Linked DNA regions of Oryctolagus cuniculus. The protein of the gene in region 2 purifies or fractionates together with the protein of the main gene of each other region. This does not show direct contact. Links are inferred from orthologs where the notes say so. Each region holds a gene or a part of one and is shown on either strand. Other genes may lie near its edges.

Region 1 (4,262 bases), on a different chromosome or scaffold from region 2:
CGTGCCAGGAAGCACGCCTGGGTGCCCGTGGAATGCAGACACACGTGCCCCTGGGCACTAGTGCACGCACATTGCGCTGTTGCCATTCTCCTCAGTGTAAGAGAGCACACACACATACACGTGTGCATGCACACCCTACCATGTGCTCTCACCCACGTGCACAGAGTGTGCACGGAACCCAGAAGAGGTGGAGTACTGCCAGCAGCAAGCAGGGCTCCAGTGAGCCACCCCTTCCCCCTGCCTTTCCGTCCCCATCTCAGCTTCTCCTCAGCCCCACTGCCTGGATAGCATGACTCTCAGGAAAGAAAATGTGTGTGTCCTGTGTGGGGTCAGCAAACCATGGCTTGGCTGTGCCATACAACTCACAGACCCATTGTTTTCAGAACAGTGGGCACTTGGCAGGGAGGGCTGAGCGCCAGGCCACTCATTCATTCTGCAGACGTTAGCTGAGCGTGGTGAGATGAGGTTCCTATCCAGCCACGGGGTTGGTGCTGTGATCAAGATCACCCAGAGCCCACGCTGCCCCAAGGCAGACACAACCTGGCCCGGAGGAGATGACCCAAAGCCAAGGAAGGCTGTGAAGGGGGCTTCTCACTGTCCCTCTGGAGGAAGGCTTTGAGTGGCCTTGTTGGGGCAGCCACTTCCCAGGCTAGCCTTCCAGCCTCAGGACCAGCTTCTTCCCTGGATGGTCCCTCCATCAGCAGCCGTGTGTCGCCATGCAGGGGAACATCACTCTGCAAAGAGGAGGGTTTGGGAATGACCCTGTTTCTTCTCATCCCAAGGCAGAGGCAAAAGGCTCACTGGGTGGGGTTGGAAAGTGTGGGGAGCAAACCGGACTAGACTGTTACTGGAATTAAGGCTTATTCTATGCATCTGCTCTCCCACAATATGGCGCTGGGAGAGAAGTAAACAGCTTCCGCACAGCTGCCTCCAGTTCAACCAATTAACTGTAGGACTTGCTCCTGATTGGAGAGCAGCGTACTCGGCGTGTGGGCAGCCGAGTTGGGATTGGCGGAGGAGGACTATAAAGGAGGAGAGAAACGGCATGCACCGGGGAACATTTATGGGGAACATCTAAGGGAACCCGTGCAGCCCCCGAGAGAACCGGCCGGCGGAGTGCCGCTCCCCTGCGGAAGTGGGGAATGTGGCCAGGGGGAACTGCCCTTCCACGGAGGTGGAAGGGATAGTAGCCAACCCGGGAAGAACCAGCAGAAAACCCGGGGAGGGCCGAGCAGACGAAAGAACAGCGCAGGGTCCTGTGTTGCTCCTCCACGAAGAGGGGGAGCGACAGGAAAGGACGAGCCCAGCTCCAGACATCGAAAGAGCCAAGTCCGGCCTTTGGACTCTGACCAAAGGATGGTCCTCAAGGCTTGAGAAGACTGGGGCAGGCACTGGGCCCAAGTGGACCCAGCGCCTGCCTGGCAGAAGACAGATCAATGGCCAAGGATATCCTTCAAACTTTCCTCCCAGCAGATCTGAGCCTCCAGGTAGGAGACAGGCTTGGTGAGGCATGGTGGTGCCACAGTTCTCCTGTGTTCCCGTACCGTAGCCCAGGCCACTTAGGAAGCTGCTGTTCTTAAAGTGTTAGAGGGTGATTAGATGGGGAGGAAAGCAGTCTGTGTCACATCATATGTGACTTTCATAGTTTGGGAAATTCAGTGTCACAAAAGAGAGGGCAGACAAGGCACCTTTTTTTAATTTGTTCATTTGAAAGGCAGAGAGAGCGAGAGAGACCTTCCACCTGCTGGTTCACTCCCCAAATGCTCACGACAGCCAGGGCTGGGCCAGGCTGAAGCCAGGAGCCAGGAACTCCGTCCAGGTCTCCCACGTGTGTGGAAAGTACTTGAGCCACCATCTGCCGTCTCCCAGGGTGTCCACTAGCAGGAAGCTGGGCCTGAAGCAGAGCTGAGACTTGAACCAGGCGATGGACATGAGAGGCTGGCATCTTAAGGGTGACTTAGGTGCTGAGCCAAACGCCTGCCCCTGCCTGTGACTTATGATTGGGAGACTTTGGCTTGCAAGAGTTGGGGGTAAGGAAGATAGAAGGCTGTGCTACCATACAGGGTTACATGCTGCCCACTTGCATATACCACGTGTGTTTACCACTCGTCAGGGGAGGCCCCTGTGTACTGCCCAGTGACTGTCCATGCAGTCCCTCTACATGCGACCTGCCCTTTGAGTCAGGAACCCTCCGAAACCCCCACTCCCCCAGATTACTGCCTGCCAAGATTTAAGTGCAGCTCCAAGACTAAGGCTTTCTCCCCATTCCCACCACCCCCGACCCCGGCCCTGGGCGCCAGGAGTCCAAGGGGCTAAGGGAGCTGTTGAGAGCCTGGCTGGGGCTGGGCAGGCCAACGTTCACCAGCTCTGAGGCTAGCCAGTGGGCGCCTGCCCTCGAGTGGGACTCCAGCCTCCGGCTCCTCCAGGGTCGGGGCGGGGCCGGCTGAGAGGCCCCGCCCCCAGCCCGCCCCCGGCCCAGGGTGCGAATCCGGTGCGGGCGAGCGACTGGCGATGCTGGAGGTTCGTGAGCCAAAGCGGCTGCAGCTGGCGCCGCGTCTGCCCCGCGTGCCCGGAGCGGATTCTGCCCGCCGCCCACGGACCCCTCGGCGCCCTGCTGAGCCCGCGATCCTTTCCTCCCTGTGACCAACCGGCGCTGCAGGTGCGAGGCGGGCCCGGCCGGGCTGGGGTGGGGTGGGGGGGTGCCTCCTGGATGCATGCTGTGGGATTTTGGGGAATTGTTCCCCCGGCTCCAGGTTCTGGGCGCAGAGTGCGCGGGGGAGCTGCGAGGGTTCGAAGTCCCCGCGGGGGCAGAACGCGCGGGCTCTGCAGATCCCGGGGGCGGCGTGCGGGGTCGGGCTAAAGTTCCTCATTGCCTCGGACGGCTCCAGGGCCCCAGGGGAAGCCTCTGCGGCTCCGATTGTAATAACATTTAACCCTCGAAGATTCGTGGTGCCCCGTGAGGGTAGGGGCCATGAGCCGAGCCGTCCCTCCCCGCTCCCTGAGCCGCTCCGGCCCCTCCCAACTGCCCCCGGGTCCCCTCCCTCCCGCTTAGCAGTCACTAATTTCCATGACAACGGAGAGTTCTTTCTGGGCGACAACCCGGAGGGGGCTGGGCGGGGCTGCTGCGGGGTGGGGGAGGAGGCCCCAAGACCCTGGGGACTAGCAGTCCCCTAGCCACGATCCGGTTTTCCAGCCTTCACGTGAGGGCCAGCCTGGGGGTCCAGCGCACCGACGCACGTGCGCGGTTTCGGGGGGAGGGGCGCACATGTTCCTGCTGGGAGCTGCGGGCTTGGTGCTCACACGTGTGCCTCCCGCATGTGTGTTGCTGTGCCAGCGGGGGCGAGCCAGCAGCACTGAGGAAGGGGGTCAGGGTGGCGCCACGGGGAAGAGCAGGGCCCTAGGCTGGTGGTGGTGTGTAGGGAGGGGACAGATAAAGCCCTGAACTTCTGCCCTCCCCAGGCTGTACTGCCTGGTAGAGACCCTGGGCTCTTGAGTCCCACTCCCCACCCCCAAGTAGCTCTGACAAATTGCTTTTGTCTGCACCCCCCAGGCAGAGTCTGCTCTGCCAGGTTCCTTCCTAGGAGTAGGGCCCGCTGTCCCTCACCAAAACCTGAGCCTGCATTCATCCATCCCCTGGGCTGCCCCTCCCAGATGCAGGTATTGAGTCCCCCAGGCCCACCATCAGAGACCTGGCGCCCTCCACCCCTGCCAGCTCCAGCATCTGAGACTCAGTTTACCCCACTGGGAGGTTTGTGTGTCCCCTTCCCTCAGAGTCCGGCTGCTCTCCCCAGGGTGGGGCTAGGGTCCCTTCCATTCCCTCTGAGCACAGGCGCCTGGGCTGGCCCCTCAGGGATCTGCAGCCTCCCTTCCTCTCCACTCCATGCCTGCCCACACTCCCCGGCAGGCAGGCAGGCAGGCTTCCACCCTGGGAGGCCGCAGGGTCCCTGATTTCTGTTCGGGGAAACTGAGGCATGGGGACGGGAGGGGTGATGTGGTTGTTCTGCTGTTTCTGGGTTGCTTAGGGAGCTGTTTCTGGCCCTCCTGGTAGGGTGGATGTGACAGGATTAAGCTGAGCTGTAAGAGAGGCTCTGGGGACCTCGGGCCTGAGAGGATGGCAGATGGTGGGTCTTGACTGGGCCAGCTGAGAGGAGCGATGGATCCTGAAGGAGTCTTCATCTCCATCCTCCATGCTTGTGCCTTCGACACGTTGGATGTACCCTAAGCTGCCGCAGTGGCAGGGAGAGGGGTTGGGGAACCGTCCT
Region 2 (4,253 bases):
CTGTCTTCTTCCTATTACAGTGGCTCATAGTTGAAAACAAAATTAAAGGTAAAACAGCAAAAGGAAATATTCGGTACAGGTAAGTGCCCAGCCAAGGTGCCCTCACACTTCCACCTCCTCCTCAGGCATCACTCTTCCCAGTCACTTCCCTCCTACACAGCAAGGCCCTCATTTAAGCCACAGAGCTCCTCTGCCATCTCTCCTTCCCCATAATGTGAGCTATGGTATGCCATCTATTCGTTCTTCAGTTAAGCTTCAGGAGAGATTTGGAGCACAGGCTCAAAGGTAAATCAGTCTGTGAGACTGTCAGAGATTGGCTTCCAGAAAGTCTCCTGCAATTCTTTGGAATTTATGGTCTTCAGCGTGGTTTGCAAAAGCAGGCATCTGTCTCAACATTGCCATCAGCTATCCTATAAAGGTTGTAAACTTCAAAATTCCCTGGTAGCCTTCCCATAACTGTACCCAAACACACAGAGGATGATACACTCAGATTTCCTCCGGCCAGTCCAGAAGTGAATCTGGTAATAAGCAGCCTCACTGATGGGCTCTTTGGTTTTGATTTACAGACACCATGGAACACTTAGAAATCAAACCCACATCATCCTCGAGGGCAGACATTCATTAGCAACGGGGAGTTGTACATTTGATCGAAAATGTACAAAATGTATAACAGTGACATTTTCAATATGAGGCCACATGATTTATTCAGTAGTTTTTATGTTCCCAAATTACAATTTTTGTCTATTCATAAGACTACAAAAGTTACCATTAGAATTGTCTGTGCTTATAAAATACCAACTTTTTTTTTAAACTGTTATATATACTCATTTAACACCAGTCTGCGACGAGTTACATAGAATCATAGGCACTTCAAAGGCTTAAAAAGATGTTTACAACTTAAATGCATTTTTTAGAACAAAAACTGGTTTTTTCTTTAAACCCCTACTCGTACCTTCAAATTGCAAGAAATTAACAAATACAGTGGCCAAAGAAATCTGCAGCAACTTCTCAAAATACTGTTAGCATCTTTGGATTTGCTGAGTAACTCCCATCCAATCCTCCCAAGAGAAGATCTGATTGGACAGATGTGACTAAACAGTTTTGTAGTAATAATCCAATTTTACACATTAACTTGCTCTTGCAAATCTGCCTGAAGCTACAGGTAATGAAAAATAAAGCAAGTGTAAAATGGACAGTCTGACACTGAAAAATTTACACAAAGTGGAAGTTAAAGTTTACATATTTGAAAATCACATATACACTAAATTACCATTATCTGAATTCTCCAAAGACAAATTGCACCATGACAGCTACAAAAGGCATAGGATTTGGTTTTGGTTTTAAGGGGACAGAGGGCAGGGCAGAGGAAAAGAGGGGGACAACAGATAAATTAACAAAATAAGACCCACTTGGTAAGGTCAATCCCAGACATGCTGACACAAACAAAAACAGCTCTCATCTTCAATCCATAGTATAAAAACAATCTTTTCATATTTGCACATAAAAGTTTAAACCAATTTCATGGACATCGAAGGTTTTCATAACATAATATTTTGCCACTGCTATTCACAGAACACTGCAGATGTTAAATTTTAATTTTATGTTGTTCTAAAGAAATACATGAAAAGTTTTAAATACAATGGGATTTTATCATTAAAGTGCCAGAATGGCTCTTTAATGAAAATAAAAACAAAAACAAAAAAACAAAGATCTTCATTATTCTATGCAAAAGCTTTATTTTGAAAAGTTCAGTGATCTCACAAATAGAGACACTAAGTGGAAGTTTTATGCATAAAACTCCTTAGTAGGTGCCTTCTGATAAGCAGCACTGGATGGTTTGCGTTCTCCAAGGTCATAGCTGCCTTCATCCTTCTTTCTCATGCGATACACCAACAGCAGGATAAGGAAGATTGCAAAGAGAAAGCCGATGACTCCCCCGGCAATGACAGCTGAAACATGCCAGAAGAAAGATTGCTTTTAGAAGAGATTCAAGGCTGCAGAACTTTACTTTGTCAAGCCCAATCTATTTACACTTTTATAAAAGGCTTAATTTGAAAATCTAAACTTTTTTAAAAACTGGATTCAGTAAAGTAACCAGGTAATTATGCAAATCTGACACTCCTCAGGAAGGTACAATACTTTCTTTGATTAGTATTAGTATTACCCAAAAGCTTCAATAAGAAAAATCTGCCTGTGACCTCAACTAATCCCGCACTTAAAATGCCGTCATCTTCTCAGTATTCACATTTCATATTTCCATCACCCCACTGCTTTTTCAGTGAAACACAACACAGGATATCATTGACTCAAAAGTTTTAAGTGTAAAGATGAAAAAAGCATGGAAATTCTTTCTAGTCTGGCTTCTGAGTCTATCCTTCCAAGGATTAGGTATTGCTTTATCTTGCAAATATTCCCCTTTGAAACCTAGTGTTAGTACTTATGCAGGCTACATATAGAGTCAACATTCTTAACACTTTGGGTTGTATTTCTGTCAACCACCTCCCACTTGTGCCCTCCACTCCCGAAGACCTTTATCTTTCTCTTTATTTTGAAATCAGGATGACCTGAAGCAAGACTGACTGGTCTTCATATCCTGCCAACCTGCCATGCCCTGCTGTTCTGCACCATTCAGTTCTTAACTTTCCTCTTTGTGACTTCCCACTCTCCACTCCTACCCAATGGGTGATGCTGCTGGTAGAAGACAAACAGGATGCTTGCCAAATCTTTCACCATGCAATAAAGGGCTCTCAAGACTGCATTCAGCAGGAAGGTGCCACTCAGCAAGCTTGGCCGCCCCTCTGAACATCACTTACTCAGCCTGTCCCCAGATGGCCACCAGCCACTCACCTGCAAGGACTTCTGTTCGTTTAAACAGATTGTCTGAGTGTTTCTCGGTGAACACGTTTGTGCCCTCTTCAGCTGGGTCCATTTTCCTTTCTGAGTCAGAGAGGTGAACTTTTTCCTTATCAATTTCTTCCGGTGACTGGGATGGGAGAAAGAGAAACATTATATCAATTTTTAAGCATATGCTGGAAAGAAAGGGCTACCAGAAGACTAGATTCTGGAGATCCCTTTCTTCCAGTCATGCACTTAGGAAGTCACTGGAATAATCACTTCATTGATGTTTACTCCAACGTGTGAGTTCCAAGGTGGATTCAAGGAGCCATGGATTTGCACGACACCCATCACATGAACAGGCAAGATGGACGGCCAGTGATTTTTATCATAATTCCAATGACATTGTTTGGTTGACATCTCCTATGATCTCTAGTTTCTTGCCACTCCTCTGACTTCAGGCTAGCGTCTCCCTTTGGCTGCTTTAATCCAATTGCATGGTGCTAATTTTCCTTACTCCTTCATGTCTTTGCTCCCCACAGCAGTGTGATGATAGTTCCTGTAGAGGCCCCCTCAGTCTTATTCTGTAAAGGTTTACACTACTTAGTCCTGTACCTTCAGTGAAGCCTGGACAAGAACTTCAGGGGGACCTGGGCTCTCCATGTAGCTCTTGTGGGACTCTGACCAAACCATTCTACTTTTCTGCACCAGTTTCCTCATCTGAATAATTAAGGACATTCTCAGGCTTTTGGAAGTTCCACAATACAAAACTATAAATCTATGTAACTCTCACAGCCTCATCTCCAGTCAGCCTTTACTCCTACCTGGCCAGCAGCCCACAAGACATTTACCCTCAGCTGTATCACTTTTCACCCTACATGTCAAATCTAAAAAGTAATTTCTCAATCAGATCAGCTCTCTTTTCTAGTTCCATTAATGGGACCATATTTGAGGGGGTGGGGGAACTAATTATTCTCTAGCACATTTCATATTTTATGTTTTCCCATATCAATTTAAGAGAGTCTCTATTCTCTTAAATTTCTCCCTTGGAGTCTATTTCTTTTTCTGTTCTTTTTTTTTTTTAAGAATTATTTTTTCCAAAGTGAGTTTTAAGAAAGAGAGAGAGAGAGAGATCTTCCATTGGCTGGTTCACTCCCCAAACGGTTGCAATGGCCAGGGCAGGGCCAGGCTGAAGCCAGGAGCTTCATCCGGGTCTCCCACATGGGTGAAGAGGCCGAAGGACTTTGGGCCATCTTCTGCTGCTTTCCCAGGTGCATGAGCAGCACTCCCCACAAATTCCCTCCCACCCATGCTCCAACTCTTCCTCCACCTTCCTCTCGAATTCCTACTCCTAATTTTTACAATGATCTTTTTTTTATAGTATACTTAATAGTCATATGGTTAATGCTACCCTAAGT

Evidence for each region.
Region 1: the proteins of SDC2 (region 2) and CAMKV purify together in Homo sapiens (affinity purification with mass spectrometry; 3 studies listed by BioGRID and IntAct, counting the BioPlex papers as one, with this or other methods). This does not show direct contact. The link is inferred for Oryctolagus cuniculus from reciprocal best matches to the Homo sapiens genes SDC2 and CAMKV.

Annotation. Positions count from the first base shown.
Region 1 is NC_091441.1:99,387,024-99,391,285, forward strand, and holds the start of CAMKV (caM kinase-like vesicle-associated protein), read left to right. Parts: upstream 1-1,340; 5' UTR 1,341-1,487; intron 1,488-2,442; exon of another isoform or gene 2,443-2,659; intron 2,660-4,262. UniProt on the Homo sapiens protein: Does not appear to have detectable kinase activity.
Region 2 is NC_091437.1:122,168,851-122,173,103, reverse strand, and holds the end of SDC2 (syndecan-2), read right to left. Parts: intron 2,984-4,253; coding exon 2,848-2,983; intron 1,950-2,847; coding exon 1,786-1,949; 3' UTR 679-1,785; downstream 1-678. UniProt on the Homo sapiens protein: Cell surface proteoglycan which regulates dendritic arbor morphogenesis.